Drosophila melanogaster: one gene and its partner. Changing the gene in region 1 together with any one later gene gives a genetic interaction. Each region holds a gene or a part of one and is shown in the gene's direction. Other genes may lie near its edges.

Region 1 (8,350 bases):
TACTGGTACTGGTACTGGTACTGGTACTGGTACTGGGACTGGGTCTGGTGCTCGTACTGCTCTTTCTACTGGTCTACCCATGCGCAGTTAGCGTTGCAAAGCTCTGTCTTCAGCAGGCTCCATTTGGAGTGGTCTTGCTGGGGCTCTTGGGTGCTTTTCGGGGAGCCGGGGCTCTCTGCACTTACAGTTGTTTCTTTTGTCTTACACTCGGATGCGCGATGCTGCCCTGCTGGTTGTAGTTGTAGAAAACTTTCTAATGTAGAAGATGTCTGCATTAGACACTTCCCCTGGCCATTGTACTTGGATTGAATTGCCCCGCTGCCGCCGTGGGGCACAGTGGTAGGCCTCTATTTACTCGGCATTTGTCAGCTTTTTATTTCTTTCGAGATTTTCCCAAGCTTGATAAATTGTCGGCGAGAATTTCAATGTTGTAAAGTTGTATAGGCAGTATTCTAAGCTTGTGAGTTCACACCGTTGCCGATTGATCGATTCTTTTAACATATTTTACTCAGCTGGGTGAAAGTTTGTGTGATAAAGCCACCGACTGTTACATATAGAGATGTAAATCATCTTTCCATTGCGGATACATCGAGTATACCGTATCCACATCCACTTCAAGTAGGGATGCAGAACCTGTCGAAGATCCATTTAGTCATCCAGTGCTCAATCTTGTGTCGCATGACCACGACTTTCGACCAACTAATAGGCCCGAATTTGTATTTACATGCTAATGAGCAACGGAATATTTTGTTTCTACTGAAAACGAAAACGCATTTTATTGCCAAACGATGATCTTTGTCAATAGGAGAGCTAATAGATTTAATTGGACGGCTGGTTCGTTATATAAATCTCGACCGGGCCAGAACTGCTGGGGGAAAAAGAAACGAGCTAAGATGTATCGCGGCTAAATGATTAATGCAGCTAAGAGTCGAGACCCCAAAAGCCAAAATCGTATTTTCACTTTTTAATAATTAACATAAAATTATTAAGAAGACGGCGAAGAAGCTGTGCAGAGGGCGAGGCAGAACGAGCGAAGATGCCGAAAACGATGCCAAACGCATTAAGCGCCCAGCCACAAAGACAAGGCAAGGTAAAGAATAAGCCAAGAAAGTTGTAAAATCCGAGCAGGAAAAGAGATTTCCGAATTTCATAAAGTCTCGCAAAGAACCAGAGCCAGCTGCCGTATGACTAACAAACCAAAAATATAAGCCAAAGAATTTTAAGTGAAATGAACATTTCCCGAAAGCAGCCAACGGGGTCTGACCCAATTACCCATTTAAGCCCAAAGTCCAAATTGATGTGGTAGCGGAGAAGAAATGGCCAAAAGAACGAGAAGAAGGCGATGGAAATGGAAATCGGAGATGGAGCTGTGGGGAAACCGAGGCAGAAGACGAGTAACAGTTATGTGACGGGCAGACAATCGAAAGTTTATGTCATGCTGCCGGCAGCAACGCAGCAGCAACAGCAACAGTAACAGCAACATGCAGCAAACGAAAATCCGACAACCATGGATGAGCAGATCATTTGTTCTTCTAAATGCTCAATCCAGATTGATTTTTCGCTACCCCTTTAATGAGCGAGTATGGAATCTGAAAGTAATATCTCCGTTGGCAGTGAATTTTTCCCCCGCACAGCAACGCAGCGGCGAGTGAAATATAAAACAATTTTTCGAAAGTCATGCCACGAAATAAATAAATGGTTCTTGTATCTACACACGTATCTCGCATAGGCCTACAACTTCAATGAGAGCAGCCAAGCTGCAAGAAAAGAAAAAGTAACTTCGCACTCATACATACACACTTACATACGCATACATACTATAGACACACATACACGTTGCTGACCAGCAAATCGAAAAGATAGCCGAAAAGAGAAACAGAAAATAAAATAATAAAATCGAAACATGAAACATTCTGATTGTATGGGCCAAAAAGTGGGTCAAGCTGCGCGGCCGCTGCTCAGCCGCAGCCTCAGTCGGCGTCGTCATCGCCAACGCGCTCGTGGCTCAGGTTTTGGCTTTAACTTTGCCTGCGGTGATGATTGTGGTGGTGCTGGTTACCATGGCGGTGATCATGATGGTGGTGGTGCTGGTGAAGTGGCTGTGGCTGTGGGTCTGGGTCTCGGTCTCGGTCTCCAGCGGCGCGCTCTGCCCGTGAAACGAGCACCAACACAGACGCAAGACGAAGTAAGAAAATAAGCCCGACTCCGCTGACGGAATACTAAAGTATCTGCGTCCACTTGCACTTTCTTTTTCGAGCTCGCCTCGGTTTTGCTTTTCTCATTCTGCTTCTGCTTCTATTTCTGCTTGAGGTTCAGGTTCGGGTCTTAAGTCTTTCGTTTTGGAGCACGTTTCTGTCGCTTGGCTTTCGCTTGGCGCTCTTTCACCGACAATAGGTGCGCTAGCGGAAACGGGTTCCGTCGAGCTTTTTTTTTCAGGGGCCCGTGCTGGAGCTATTTCAATATATTATTTATCTTCGGAGCCATTCGATGTGTCATATTCTCTTCTTTTCAGATAGAAAATCATAAACTCGTTTAAATGCTGTTAAGTGAAAGACCATTCGCTGTGCATTACAGCGCCATCTATGATTGGCTTTTACTTCAGCCGAAAAGTATGCTAAGACTTGCATGCTTTTAGTTTATGGTTCTTGTCTCGACTACGAAATATTCAAATAAATAAATCGTGGGAAATTCTTACGTACATCAATACAAATCCAATAGAAATTATTCCTGAAACCGTACAAATAGGTATACAAATATTTAACGATGTTTACATAATGTTATAGTAATTAAATTAATTAATTACTAATTTATCTTTCGATAGAAAGAGAACAAAAGTGTGCAGTAGAAGTGTAATTTTTAAAAAAACACTTAAATTTCTAAAATATTTTTCACAATTATATCAATTTGCCGAAATAAAAGTATAATTCAGAAATATCTAGAATGCACAATAGGCAAATTTAGTTAAGATATGAATTTTTAAATAAATGGTGAGCCCAATCAATTCAGTGGTTGAATGACTTTTCATAAATTAAAAAATAAAGATAAGAATGGTGAACAATTCTGTTCGCAGCCACTAACCTCTTGCTCAATACACGATGTCAATCAAGGCAATTACCAAATAAAACGCTTTGGGAATGCCACCAATTCACTTCCGAGCAATCAGATCCTATCTTTAGACCAACCGCATTCGATTATTCATGTGGGCAAGCAATAAAAACGTAAATAGAAAGAAGTAAAAAATAATTAAATCTACATAAAAGGATAAATACAGTTCGATTGAGAAAATACATTTTCGCTCGGTCTGGCTGGCAATGGTTGGTTAATTGCACTGATAAATGGTCGGCACGGTGATTTCGCATCTTCGGGATTGCATCGGCGCCGCAATGCAAAGTGCAGCAGCATTCTGTAGAATGCGATTGCAAATGTGGATGCAGCTTCCTCGAGCACCGCGCGCGGAGATCTCGATCAACCTTGATGTTGATTTATAGGTGCCGCTCTGCTTGGCGCGTCTATTTTAGATTCGCCTCGCTGCGTGCCCGTTGAAATGTCCCATTCTCCCAGTCCCTGCCGCGGATGCCAATTGTCTTGCGTCGGTCCTTCTAAGGTCCGTTTCTATTTTCCGAACTCTCAGCACCGAATGAGTCGTCCGCCGCAGCAGTCGCCCATTGGCAGCAGGATTGGGACAGAGATGGGGACGGAGATGGGGCTAATTGGCCACTCGAGAGTGCTGATTGCCGTTTAGATGGCCCATGCTCCGACTATCACGCACCTCTGCTAATCACTCGGCTATGGCGTTCTCTTATCTTTCGAGAGCTTTCTCTCTCCTGGCACTCCCTACAAATAATGAATAGGGTCCTAAGATTGATAGCTTACTTCTATCATATATTGTCAATTAATTAAATATTTCTAGGATTAAATATGAACTGAATTGAAGATAAAGTTTATCTTCTACTACATAGTTATTTAAGCTGTTATATGTTATGAGACCCTTTTCTAGGATTTGTACCTACTAACAATGTGAAAAAAATATAAAATGTCATATTTTCGTAGTTTGGAAATTCCCTCGTTTATTGAATTTATTGGTAATCTTAATAAATGATTCTATGCTTTATTAAGTATTTAATTGTGTGGCTTCCTTTTTTTGTGAAGCGCATTAATGAGTCGTCTTCGTGCAATGAGGCATCCAAACTTCTGACATGCTCGGCCAGAAGTCTGAAAACTGCTTATATGGATCGATTGTTCCGCAGCACTTTCGCTCAATCTTTTTCTCAGTGCCGCACTGGCATCCAACTCAAATCGCTTCGAGGGAGAGCCGAGATATAAAGGCAGGACAGACCGATCGGCGTGCCATTTGTTGTTGAATCTAGTTGTCAACAGGAATCGAACGTGCGACTCTATCCAATTTTTCTCCTTTCGTTGACCTAAAAGGTGTGTGAGTGCGACCTCAATGTCGAAGGATCCAAGGATTATTACAGAAAAAGCCAAGAGGACTAAGGATATTAAAACTCTTTTTAATAAGTTCGGATTGTTTGATGGATTTTTCTACAAGTCACTAATCGGTCTTCGAAAGTTCAATATCTAAATATAAAGTGAAGAGTAATTGCAACGAAACGTATTTTCAATTAATTTGATACGTTTAAATTAAGTTCTATGAACTATTCTTTTCCGATATTTATAGAGCACTGATTTAGTTTCAAGTGAATAACCATATTAGCATGAGTCAAAAGGAAATGGAATATACCAATTTTGGCAATTTTTCATGGTTTTATTTACTGAAATGTGCTCAAATGGACAATAGAGTTTCACTTCACTTCTTCAATATCTTAAAAAGTTAAATATTTTCTTGAGACACAAATTAGTTTTCTATGTTGTCATTAAAGTAGTAGAATTTAAAGAATTGAGATGTAGGTGGGAGCTATAAAACTTTACATATATAATCGACAGATCGAGCTAACCGAGTGCACTTCCATCTCCCTTCCAGATAAACAACTGCCAAGATGTGTGACGATGATGCGGGTGCATTAGTTATCGACAACGGATCGGGCATGTGCAAAGCCGGCTTCGCCGGTGATGACGCTCCCCGTGCTGTCTTCCCCTCAATTGTGGGTCGTCCCCGACACCAGGGTGTGATGGTGGGTATGGGTCAGAAGGACTCGTACGTGGGCGACGAGGCGCAAAGCAAGCGCGGTATCCTGACGCTGAAGTACCCCATCGAGCACGGCATCATCACGAACTGGGACGACATGGAGAAGATCTGGCATCACACCTTCTACAACGAGCTGCGCGTGGCCCCCGAGGAGCATCCAGTATTATTGACCGAGGCTCCACTGAACCCCAAGGCCAATCGCGAGAAGATGACCCAGATCATGTTCGAGACCTTCAACTCGCCGGCCATGTACGTGGCCATCCAGGCCGTGCTCTCCCTGTACGCCTCCGGTCGTACCACCGGTATTGTGCTGGACTCCGGCGATGGTGTCTCCCACACCGTGCCCATCTATGAGGGCTTCGCCCTGCCCCACGCCATTCTGCGTCTGGATCTGGCTGGTCGCGATCTGACCGATTACCTGATGAAGATCCTGACGGAGCGCGGCTACAGCTTCACCACCACCGCCGAGCGTGAGATCGTGCGCGACATCAAGGAGAAGCTGTGCTACGTGGCTCTGGACTTCGAGCAGGAGATGGCCACCGCTGCCGCCTCCACCTCGCTGGAGAAGTCGTACGAGTTGCCTGACGGCCAGGTGATCACCATTGGCAACGAGCGCTTCCGCTGCCCCGAGGCTCTGTTCCAGCCCTCGTTCCTGGGCATGGAGTCGTGCGGCATCCACGAGACCGTCTACAACTCGATCATGAAGTGCGACGTGGACATCCGCAAGGATCTGTATGCCAACTCTGTGCTGTCCGGCGGTACCACCATGTACCCTGGTAAGACAAATCATTCGCTTCAGCAGTTGCACTTGTGCTTAATCCTTTGGTGCACTTTCAGGTATTGCCGATCGTATGCAGAAGGAGATCACTGCCCTGGCCCCATCGACCATCAAGATCAAGATCATTGCGCCACCCGAGAGGAAGTACTCCGTCTGGATCGGTGGCTCCATCCTGGCCTCGCTGTCCACCTTCCAGCAGATGTGGATCTCGAAGCAGGAGTACGACGAGTCCGGCCCCGGAATCGTTCACCGCAAATGCTTTTAAGTCTTTCGCCCGCCGCGAAAGCTCTTCAAAGGCAGCAACCAGCAGCGACCAACAAGCACCCATCGAGCTACCCAACAACCTCGGCTCGGACAGTGATAGACAAAAGCAGCGAACCCATCGCACAACAATTATCATCCAACTCAGATTCACAGCAGATAATCAGAGGCAACCTCCGGTTGTCGGTGCTCATCCTTCATGGCCATTTCATCGGCAGCGGTATAGCGGATTTTTACTTTGAAGAACTAATCGTAAGAGTCGTGGCTGTGCTCCATGTCGAGTAGCAATCAAATGTATATGAGGAGCTTTTAACCCTAGTCAGTGAATTGAAAGCCAAATATATCTTCCATTAAAACTATTAAATATTTTAAATAAATACATTTTTCTATTACCCGCCCCCCCCCCGTGTACTGAAAAGCCCTGGAGGTGCGAACCACGTTTGGTTGGTAACAGCTTTAAATTCCTTTTAATTGACATTAAATTAATTGTTAACATTGGTTTTGCATTAGCCTAGCTAGTTAAATGAAAATACAGCGAGGATACTTGGTACCGGGACTTAGGCGATTTGGGATACAATCGATTGAACGTTGAAAATCTGGCAGTGATAACAATCAATCAAGAGTGTTAATTCGATTTGATGAATAGTTTGGTTTGGCTTGTGCGATCGGGGGGTATCCTAAATAATATGAGTATTCGTTTTAGTTACACATACATTTGCTCCCAACTTCTCTCTCTCTCTCTTAACTAACTAATTGCGGAGCTAAGCTAATACAACTATTGTACAGACCGGCATTGCACTAGTTTAGCCGAGCTCTTCGTTTTCGGTGAGTGATGGATGGATGGATGCCCTAGGCTTGTTTCAGGGAATAATCGGAATAATTGTTGGGGATGGAGCAGAGGAAAGTGTAAGTATATTTTAATTAAATTAAATTATTGCTTGAAATGCACTTCTTGGTATTGTTCCCATTGCTGACTTTACCTAGGCAAAGGATATCTTTGCATCTTCCATCACTGCATACCGGAGTTGGCACAAATACGGGCTTATCTGAGCGACGACCTATGATGATGGATAATCCCTATTTGCTAATTCAAAGGCTCACATCCTCTAGTATTTACAATACTTAATACATTACATGGCAATAATATCTAGTTACTAATTTCGAGCGAAATATAATTATATATATATACAGACGATATGGTTTTGTTCGGGCTACTTCGACACGATTATTACAGTTTATATATAACTAACTAATATTCGAGAATACTTTTAACCATCGATAGCGGCGACTCTCCGTAGTGGTAATTCTTGGCTGGGGTAACCCTGATATGCTGGGATGCTCGGATTAACTTTACCCTTGGTCCTTCCCGGGACGTAGACCCGATTACCGTGGGAAGGTCAAACAAAGTTTCCCGCTGACTACTCAGTGGTTTCAGTCATAACACGTCCAGGTAAAGGCCAGAATCGGGCGCTATATAGCAACCGCCGCAGTATCCTCCGCAGAATCCCCTTCGCATCTGCGTGGTCGTATCAAACTGAAAACGGGAATAGCATATATATATAGGCAATGATCCTTTTTGATAATTGAGTGACTGACATACCTCACTGATACGCTTCATGACCGAGTACTGGCCATGCATCCGCCACACGGTTCCCGGTCGTATGGAGAAGTCCGTGTCCTTCATGTTAATCGAGAAGTCGCCCTGCGGACACTGGCCAATGCGATTGTAGCAATCGCCCGCTGATCCCAGCTTCTGAGCCAATCCTCGCGAATCGGCGAACTTGAAGTCGTTGTCCATGATGCGCAGATCGGTGATATTCAGCCGCAGCTTTCTGAAGTGCGTCCGGCCGGAGTTCTGATCGTTGTAGTACTCGTGGCCTCGCGACTCCGGCGGACAGCTGTTGGTCTGTTTCGTCCTGTACTCGTAGTATATGGAGTAGTTCTCCTGCGGATCCACGTTCACGTACTCCTGTGGCGTCCTGCTGTTCATCCCGTGGCAGTAGATGTGCACCATTCGCGATCTCACCTCCAGCTGGTAGTTGCCATCCTTGTTGTAGCCGTGCATCTCCTTCAGGTCCGCACAGCTTCTCGGTGTTCCGCGATTCCGTGAGCCTCCGATTGAATTCAAGCTCCTGCTGCTACTCACTCCAGTGCCCCTCGGTCTG
Region 2 (8,791 bases), on another chromosome or scaffold:
TATTGAGCTAGTTTTAAAGAAGCCAAATAGAAATGGCCCAACTGTTAGCAGTAGTGTAGCTATAGAAATTATAAATAAATTATAAATAATAACGTACGCAGCATTTAACTAGGTATTTGTTTAGATAAAAGCATTTTTCAATCTACAATATAAAGACATTTAACTTCATGCCAAATAAATGCCTCTGTAATAAAGCTACTTATTAATCCTATTATCCATGCTAATCGCATTATTTCCCCCACTTTCTTATCATAATACTAGCTTGCAAAAGTTTCATTCTGAATAATTGATTATACTTACGCCACAGCACAAGTTTCGTGCTTTTCAGCCGCCCTTTGATGCAACAAAATTAGTTACTGTAACCGACAAACGCAGTTAATCCTTGGAGATGTGCAACCAATACGTGCACCAAAAGTGCATTTGAAACTGTAATCCGTTTAGTTGATTTAATTAAATTTGCGATAACTTTGCCAACTCTAAGGCGAACTTGGGCAGGGTTATTTAAATATTTCGCAGGACCAGCCGGAGTAAGCGAATTCTGACGGCTACCATGAGTGCACCCAGCACCTATGTACATACATAATGCGAGTGCATGCAGCATATATAAATACATATACATATTATATATATACATATATATATTTATATACGGTGCAGGGAGGATAAGGATGCGAGTGCCTGTTTGTGTGTATATAACCCTAAATGGGTCAGCGACAGCTGGGGAGTGGTGTTGGTTCTGGTTATGGAGGGGGAGTTCGGCGGGCAGACGACAACGACGACGACGACGACGACGACGACAGCAGCGACAAATAGTTGTCAGGTAGAGCGAACGTTGCAAGGCCACGCCCACAGTGGGCGGCTCAGAGGGGGGGGGCGGGGGTGGGCGCTTATGACGTTTGTTTTGCTTTGACGCACTCGCAGCCAGCTGACCATCGATGGTTCGCCTTTAACCCCGAATTAAGCTCGATTCACTGGGCACACCACACTGCCCACCTTTAAGGCCTCGATTCGTGCAAATATTCCGCCCATGTTGCAACATTGCTTTATTAAAGTTTACTTATTGCCAATGTATACACATTTTCGACGCTGTAAGACATTACCGCTTTTCTAGTAATACTGGTCGGCATTATAGCCCACCCCCGTCCGATTCAATATTTCCTGTTTGCCAAAGGCCCAAAAATAAGGCACAATATTAAAAGTGTTTTTTCAAACGAAAAACATTTTCGAAATTCATAAATTAAGGCAAAAATTGCTTGGGCGCGCAGCGGAATTGTTTAAAAACGCTCGGAACGAGAATGAAGGCGAAAATAGATTCGTCCAGACATAGACGAACTGATCAAGTTCCCTACGAATAACGAAAACATTTTGCCCCAAGCTAACCCACTGCCCTTCCGCAGTCGCCGTTTTTTCGATTTCCCCCCTGGAAGCCATATTCTAAATTTAAATGGGGAAAAACAAAATAGAAATCATCGAAAATACATTTCGAAATAGAGCTAGAACAAGCCGTGGCAAAATCAAAAACAAGCAACACAAACAGAAACACAAAATGCCAAGAACAACGAGATGAGCAGGGAAAAGCAACATTATTTTCAACAATATTTTGTTGTTGCTCTCCCTGCTGAAAGTTTATAGAATCGGAACATACGTATAGACAGTCTATGTATATCTAAATTCATATACGATATATATATATATATATAGACATGGTTTCGTGATCGAAACGTTTTATTCGTCTTTCGTTCTTGGCGAAATTCGAAAATTACTTTCAACCAAAGTTGCAAGGCGTTTCGTCTACGGGGCGTATGCGTGATTTTCAGTAGGTGTGTTGCAGCGTCATTCGCACCGTTTACCATTATATATAGAAATTTATATATATATACATATATATATATATATATATATGTGTATGTGTGTATTTGGCCATATTGCGTATATACATTATATTTAGACTGACGATGCCAAAGTAATTCAGCTAAAACATTGATATTAACAAGACGGATATAGGCTATATGTTCGTACGATTCGCTTGGAACACATTATTCGAAAGCTTAAAGTTATGTCAGCGGCCAACATGCAAGATAAATAGCCGAACAACATGAAACAGATCGTTAAAATGGTTTTTCTAGATCAAGTCCAAAGTGGCACGGTCTAAGAAAAACCTTTTAAATGAACACAAACGGAATAATTACTTTAAGACCTGGAAATGATATTGGATGGATTAAATAGTAATAATCTTCAAATTAAATAAGTTAAGAATCTATGGGATTCCCCAATTTTATCTAATATATTTTCAGCAATATATGTATGTAAGGGTTATTAACCTATTTTTCTTAAAAACTGCAGTCTTCTAAAGAAAACAGTAATTTGTATTCAGTCAACTCATCGAAATATTAGTTATGTTTATGAGGATAAATGTTCGATAGGAGTTATAAATCTAATCTTTAAAATAACGCTGCATGCACCTATTTTAAGATAATGTTTAGTTTCATTAGTATTTGCTGTTGAAGTAGATTACATTGAAAATGAATATATATTCAATATATGCATATCCCAGCACAAGCTTATTCCCTGGATTTTCCAGAATTAGCATAATATTTTATAGTTTTTTAACCAGGGCTGGCGAAACCAGAGATTGCAGCCAGTCGCCGGCCCTGATTTTTTCATTGCACACCGATTGCACCGCCATCGCATAGCCTCCCAACTGGAGCAACAAAACCTATTTTTATCCATTGCATTGAATTCCAAGCGGCTCCGTTTACACCAGCACACACATCGAACTGCAGATACGATATTGTGAACACCGATGCGGATACAGAGATACAAAGATTCTCCAAGCGGTATTTTTCATAGGGTGGTTTACGGGTCTGCAGTTCCGACGGGGCGGGAGTTACGGGATCGGGATCGCAATCGCAATCGCAATCGCAATCGGATTCGGATTCGGAATCGATTCGGCATGCCACTCGGCTGCGACGATCGTGAGCCGAACACTTTTCGGTATCCATTTCGATTTTGCTTATGGGCTGTGCTCTGCCATGTCAGTTTTGGTGGGATCTATTTTTGGATCTCACGCCCAGATACATAACCCCGGCCCCCGAGCCACTCTCGCTCTCTCTCGCTCTCGCCCGTTCGTGAAGGACGGTGGGCAGGTGGGCGGCTAACGTTTGGCTTTCGGAACATAACGGAACCGAGCCGAACGAGACGATGCGATACGATGCGATCCGATCAACAACGATCCGTATCTGTATCCGTTGGGTGGCTAGCCGCTAGAATATAGTCTGCCGTGGATCGTCGGACCGTTCAGTCTTTTTGTGTCGTTCAGTATCATCCGATTCGTGTGATCGACAGCATAGCCGAATTTTTTTTCTTTTTTTTCTAATTCCTTGAAGGTGAGTGCTTGAAGCGGAGCAACATTCAAAAAGCCAAGAAAAACATCACCATCAACATTGACAACGAGCAACAATGCAAGAACAAGCGGAATGGAAAAACAGAAAACTGCAAAATGCAAAATGCAAATGCTAATGCTAATGCAAAGAAAAACAAATGTGAAATCCTCAGTCCTTTCTCATATGCTATACATATATATATATATATTTATATTTATATGTATGTCTGGACCTGACCAAAATCGTGTGCGTGTGCCCAGAGGATTCAAACATTTTTTTTCAAACAATTTTTTTGCTATTTTTTTTCAAGTGATACAAGTTAACAAGTGTCTAAAACTGCATCGAAATACTTTTCAACATTATTTTGACTTGATTTTGCAATGAATTTTTTTTCACGGATTGGCTTGCCAATTACGTAAGAAGTTGCCGTGTGTGTGTGCGTGTATGCGTGTGTGTGCGTGCCGAAAGCTAAAAATGTATCCCGCAGATACAAGATACATTTCAAAAAAGCTAAAATCGCTCGAAAAGTGCCTGAAAATAGACCACAGCGAGAACAAGAGATCCCGAGAGAGAGAAAAATCACACACACACACGCACACACAGAAAATCATACACTCACACACAGAGAAACAACACGCACACGTCGCCTACGTAAAATAACTGGATAAATGCTCTCCGAACTTTTGGATTTCATATTCGATACGAATATCGTTGCTCCAATTTGACTATTTTTTTTCCGTGAACATATAAACAAATTGTACGGCAAATCATAAATAGCTGCCATATTTCTCGCATCCGAGATTCGTGTATCTATCAACAGGTTTATTTTTAAATCAGTCAGATACTAGATACAGTAGATGCCATCCCACTCGCTCTCATTCTCAGATGTATGCCGAGTGGAGACATCGACTATGCTTAAATTCGTTGTGCATTTCTCGCAGTGTACATAGCCGAAGGTCGTCATTGTCAGAAAATTTTCACGCCTTACCTTCGCTAAGGTGCGCAAATTGCTGGGGCTAAATATACGCCTAGCTCCCTAGCAATTCGTTCTACTAAGCCATATGGCTTTGTAGGTGTGAAAACCCCAAAATATACAACTTCTTCCAAAGGATATAAAATCTATAACGGATCTCCTTTTGACTCATTGTACATTATTTTAGTTCATTGCTAACAGCATAGATAATTTGTTTAACGATTACTTTCAACGCTAGTAGACTTTTTAAAGTTATATATGTACTTTGTGAGGTGTTAATTCTTCGACTTCATTTCAGTAAAAATGTATACATATACATACTATACGGATAGGCTAGCAAATAAATTCTGATTAATTCCTCAAGATGTAGACATGGTTTTTCGTATGATGAAATCTCATAATGTTTACTTAAAGATTCCCAATATGTTATTCAGCATAAAATGTATTTTTAAAATGCCATTACAACGATCAATCATCTGATCAAGTATGCATATGTAAAAGTTACTTCTATACTAACGATTTAACTTTTAGCTTGATTAAAACGAAAACATATCGTAGGAAAGTTTCCATTAACAAAATCAGCTGGCTGAGATCGGTCAGTTGGGAAATGCTATTCTCTCTTTGCTCACTTGAAATCGGATATCAAAGAGAGCAACTAGAAAAGCCACAAAGCAATACAGTTGTCTTTTTCTGGCAGCTAGACGCCCACGCCAAAGTAAATGTGCGAAAGAAAGGCTAAGCGAAGAGAGCGGGAAAATGAGCGTTTGCTGGGGTTGTCCTCCCATATACGGCGTGAACCAATGCTGCGTATACGTAATATGCGGCATATGCCAGCAATATGGCGCATACGCACTGTGGTACCCCGGTGAGATCGTAGGCGTGTGCGAATGGGAGAGAGAGCGACTGATTTATGGAACATATATATATATATATATAAACACATACTTATATGTATATACCTACATATAGCCGTGTATATATAGGGCAATGGAAATGATGTCATCGAACATTTCCATTCACCATTCACCATTCACCATTTGCCTCCAGTTCCAGTTCCTTGAGTTCACCTCTCGATTTCTCTTACTTTCAGTAACCAAAAACACAAATCAAAATGGCTGATGATGAGGTGAGGTGAGTATCTCCAACGGCCCCCTTTCTACCGCCTTTGAGAAACGGTTGATTAACCTTTGACCCTCTTCTTCAGTTAACTATTTTGGGGCATTAATCGCAAGCACTGTTTTGGAAATTGGAAGTGATTTGGACGGGATTAAACCTGACTGGATGTGGATTTAGGTAAGCAAAGCTCCCGAACAATCCAGAAGCTTCAACAGCCCCCCACTTGCAACCACGCAACATGCAACCCAAGCCTTTCTTTGCCTTTCTCTTGCTTTCACAGGATCGCTGCGCTTTGCAACCCTCTGAATCCCAGCCATTTCTTCCTTTCGATCAAGGAGCACAGATAATGATAACTGTCAAGTCTGACTGAAAGCCATGTCTGTTATCGTTAGTGTGTGTCTATGTCTCTGTGCCTTGCTTTGTCCCTTTTTTTGTTATCGTCGCGTTTGTGCCTGGAGAAATTTGAGATCTATTTAAAGTAGTTTAAAATCAATGAAATATTACAACCAATAAAACTTGGCTGACCATTCTTATATAATTTAAATGAGTTTAAAACCTATTTGATTACTTTAAATAATTGTGGATGATTGAGAAATGTTAATAGTTCCTTTGAAGTTTAAGCAATTTTCTCCTAGCCTGGCGTACTTTTTCGATTCCTAGAACTGCAACTAACCAGCAATCATTTAACTTGATTTCAGAAAAAGGCAGCAGCTCCGGCCGCAGCTCCAGCGGCGGCGGCCAAACCGGCGGCTCCGGCAGCAGCCCCGGCGGCCAATGGCAAGGCTGCTCCGGCGGCCAATGGAAAGGCTGCTCCGGCAGCTGCCGCCGCTCCCGCCGGTCCGCCCAAGGATCCCAACGACCCCAAAGTGAAGGCCGAGGAGGTACACTTGTGTACGTGTGTGCCCGTTCAACTTAACGTCCATGTCAAAGTCCAAGTCTCGTGCTGTGCAGTGCTGTGTTCGAATATCATATCTAGTGTTGTGTCCAGTTTTGGATGTGAGCAAACCATGCTGATACCCGGATTGTTCGTTCATTTAATTTGCAGGCTAAGAAGGCTAAACAGGCTGAGATCGAGCGCAAGCGTGCTGAGGTGCGCAAGCGCATGGAGGAAGCCTCCAAGGCCAAGAAGGCCAAGAAGGGTTTCATGACCCCAGAGAGGAAGAAGAAACTCAGGGTAAGTTTCCAGCATATACCAACGCTTTGTATGATCGCCAGCTAATCAAAGCCCTCCACTTGCAGTTGCTGCTGCGTAAGAAAGCCGCTGAGGAGCTGAAGAAAGAACAGGAACGCAAAGCGGCTGAACGTAGACGCATCATCGAAGAACGTTGCGGCAGTCCCAGGAATCTCAGCGATGCCAGCGAAGGTGAGTAGCCTCGGTCCTCGAACCGAATGATTAAGATCCCTGATCAGGCGAGTGGAAATCCCTAGAGGTTTCCCTGCACCTGGTCACGGTTCGAAAGTATAAAGGATGAAAAACCATATAATCGAAATAAACGAAATCAATCAGTAAAACAGATAGGCGGCTTATGCATTCAATATGTTTAAGCCCGCCTGTCGCGAAGCATAAACCAAAATCGATAACTGAAAGTTGAACAAGTGTCATCTATCGCATACATACATACAATTACATAACACACCAACACGAAGACACCAAAAACACACACCAAACACACACAGGATAACCGACCTCCCACATCGGATCACATTGACGTCGCAGAGGAACCATAGTCTTATTATGCCTGAACCACTGTGTGCAACATGTATCTAAATGTGTCTCTATCTCTATCTCTCTTTTGCCGCACCCATGCCCGTTAAATATCCAATCGATCCACACACACACACCACCACCACCACCACCACCACCAACCCTCTCCAACACAACCAACACCCCATTCCACAACCACAACCAACTCCGAACCACTCCGAAAAACCGAATATAAAAACCCCATTGTGAACAGACACACTCAAATCTCTGATCAAGCAACACTATGACAGGATTAATAAATTGGAGGACCAGAAATATGATCTTGAGTATGTTGTTAAACGCAAGGATGTTGAGGTACACGAACACCACCAATTTTATATACGCCACCTAAATACGCCTAAGTCTATCCACGATCAAAATCAAAAGCTAACGCTTAACAACAACAATATAAACACACCTTCTGTCAGCTGTCTCTTTCTATATATCTAAAACACTATCTCACTCTCAATCTGTTTACTGTATAATACACTCTATATATGTTCGTGAAAAGTGTTATTCGCCCAGGCACTAAAAACTGTACAGAAACTCAATGGCTCAATTAGCTCCGTATGCGTATCCGTATCCGTATCTCCGTATACTCACCCGATTAATGCAGGTCTCTTTCTATATGTCACTCCAGTGAGGATGTGTTCTGTTTAAGAATGGAAGTGTAGGTGCCATTTCTCGAGTAGATTAGTCTCACAAAAACACACTCACCCACTCCCACACCAAGAAATACCAGCGCACTCACACACACACACACACGCACAGTCAAACAACACCTCCAAATATCCAGATACAGTTCGAACCGTTTTGATAACCACACTTCGTTCCGCAGATACTATTCAGAGTGTTTGTAAGGACTACCACAGTAAGATACTGAAACTGGAGTCCGAAAAGTACGATTTCGAGTACGATGTAGCCAGAAAGGATTATGAGGCAAGCAGCTCCGGTTTCCAATAGTTTCAATCTCTCGCAGATCGTAGAACATGTTGATAACTATCTAAATATGTAGAACTACTTCACTAGCCGAGGCAGCAGCACAACTAGCCCAAAGATATATGCAAATATTTCGGAGCTCTATATACATTAGTGTGTGTGTTTGTCCGGCGGACAAAAGAATATAAAACTAAGCACTTCGTAGAAACCGTAGTTAACACCATGTACTTTTTGAATCTAGTTTTCATTTTGGGAGAGAGCTGTGCAAACGAGGCCCCCACAAAAAATATCGAAGTGTTTTTGGCACCCGAAAATCGTATATACCATATAGAAAGTAGAGCCCTAGTCAACGCAGCTAATCCGTAATATAAGAGCTTCAAGATCGGACCCAAATTGGGGGGATCGAGAATAACTACGCTGCCTTTACGTACTAATAACCTAAGCCGAGTGCAACAAGTGCTGACAAACCCTATTTTTGATGTCACCTTATTTGTGGGTTTTTTGCTTTTTACGGCTTTAGCTATAAGCTTTTTGTGGCTACAAGTTGGTTTTTGGCTTTTTATTGTAGCGGAAACACATGTGATGTTTTTGTATTTTTGATAAGGCTTTTACTAACCCACCAAAATGAAAGAAAAT

The links.
Region 2: of Act88F (region 1) and wupA, changing one suppresses a phenotype caused by changing the other (phenotypic suppression), as found in Drosophila melanogaster (one study listed by BioGRID).

What each region holds. Positions count from the first base shown.
Region 1 is NT_033777.3:15,435,619-15,443,968, forward strand, and holds Act88F (actin 88F), read left to right. Parts: upstream 1-4,350; 5' UTR 4,351-4,428; intron 4,429-4,981; 5' UTR 4,982-4,997; coding exon 4,998-5,922; intron 5,923-5,983; coding exon 5,984-6,189; 3' UTR 6,190-6,559; downstream 6,560-8,350. Other genes in the region: AdamTS-A (ADAM metallopeptidase with thrombospondin type 1 motif A), read right to left, coding at 7,621-7,719, 7,786-8,350.
Region 2 is NC_004354.4:18,111,302-18,120,092, reverse strand, and holds the start of wupA (wings up A), read left to right. Parts: upstream 1-3,267; 5' UTR 3,268-3,386; intron 3,387-5,358; exon of another isoform or gene 5,359-5,446; 5' UTR 5,447-5,467; coding exon 5,468-5,482; exon of another isoform or gene 5,483-5,487; intron 5,488-5,560; exon of another isoform or gene 5,561-5,649; intron 5,650-6,170; coding exon 6,171-6,353; exon of another isoform or gene 6,354-6,363; intron 6,364-6,517; coding exon 6,518-6,646; intron 6,647-6,711; coding exon 6,712-6,835; intron 6,836-7,430; coding exon of another isoform or gene 7,431-7,531; intron 7,532-8,054; coding exon of another isoform or gene 8,055-8,155; intron 8,156-8,791. UniProt on the Drosophila melanogaster protein: Troponin I is the ATPase inhibitory subunit of troponin in the thin filament regulatory complex. Involved in the development and maintenance of muscle and nervous system. May also be involved in the cytoskeletal apparatus.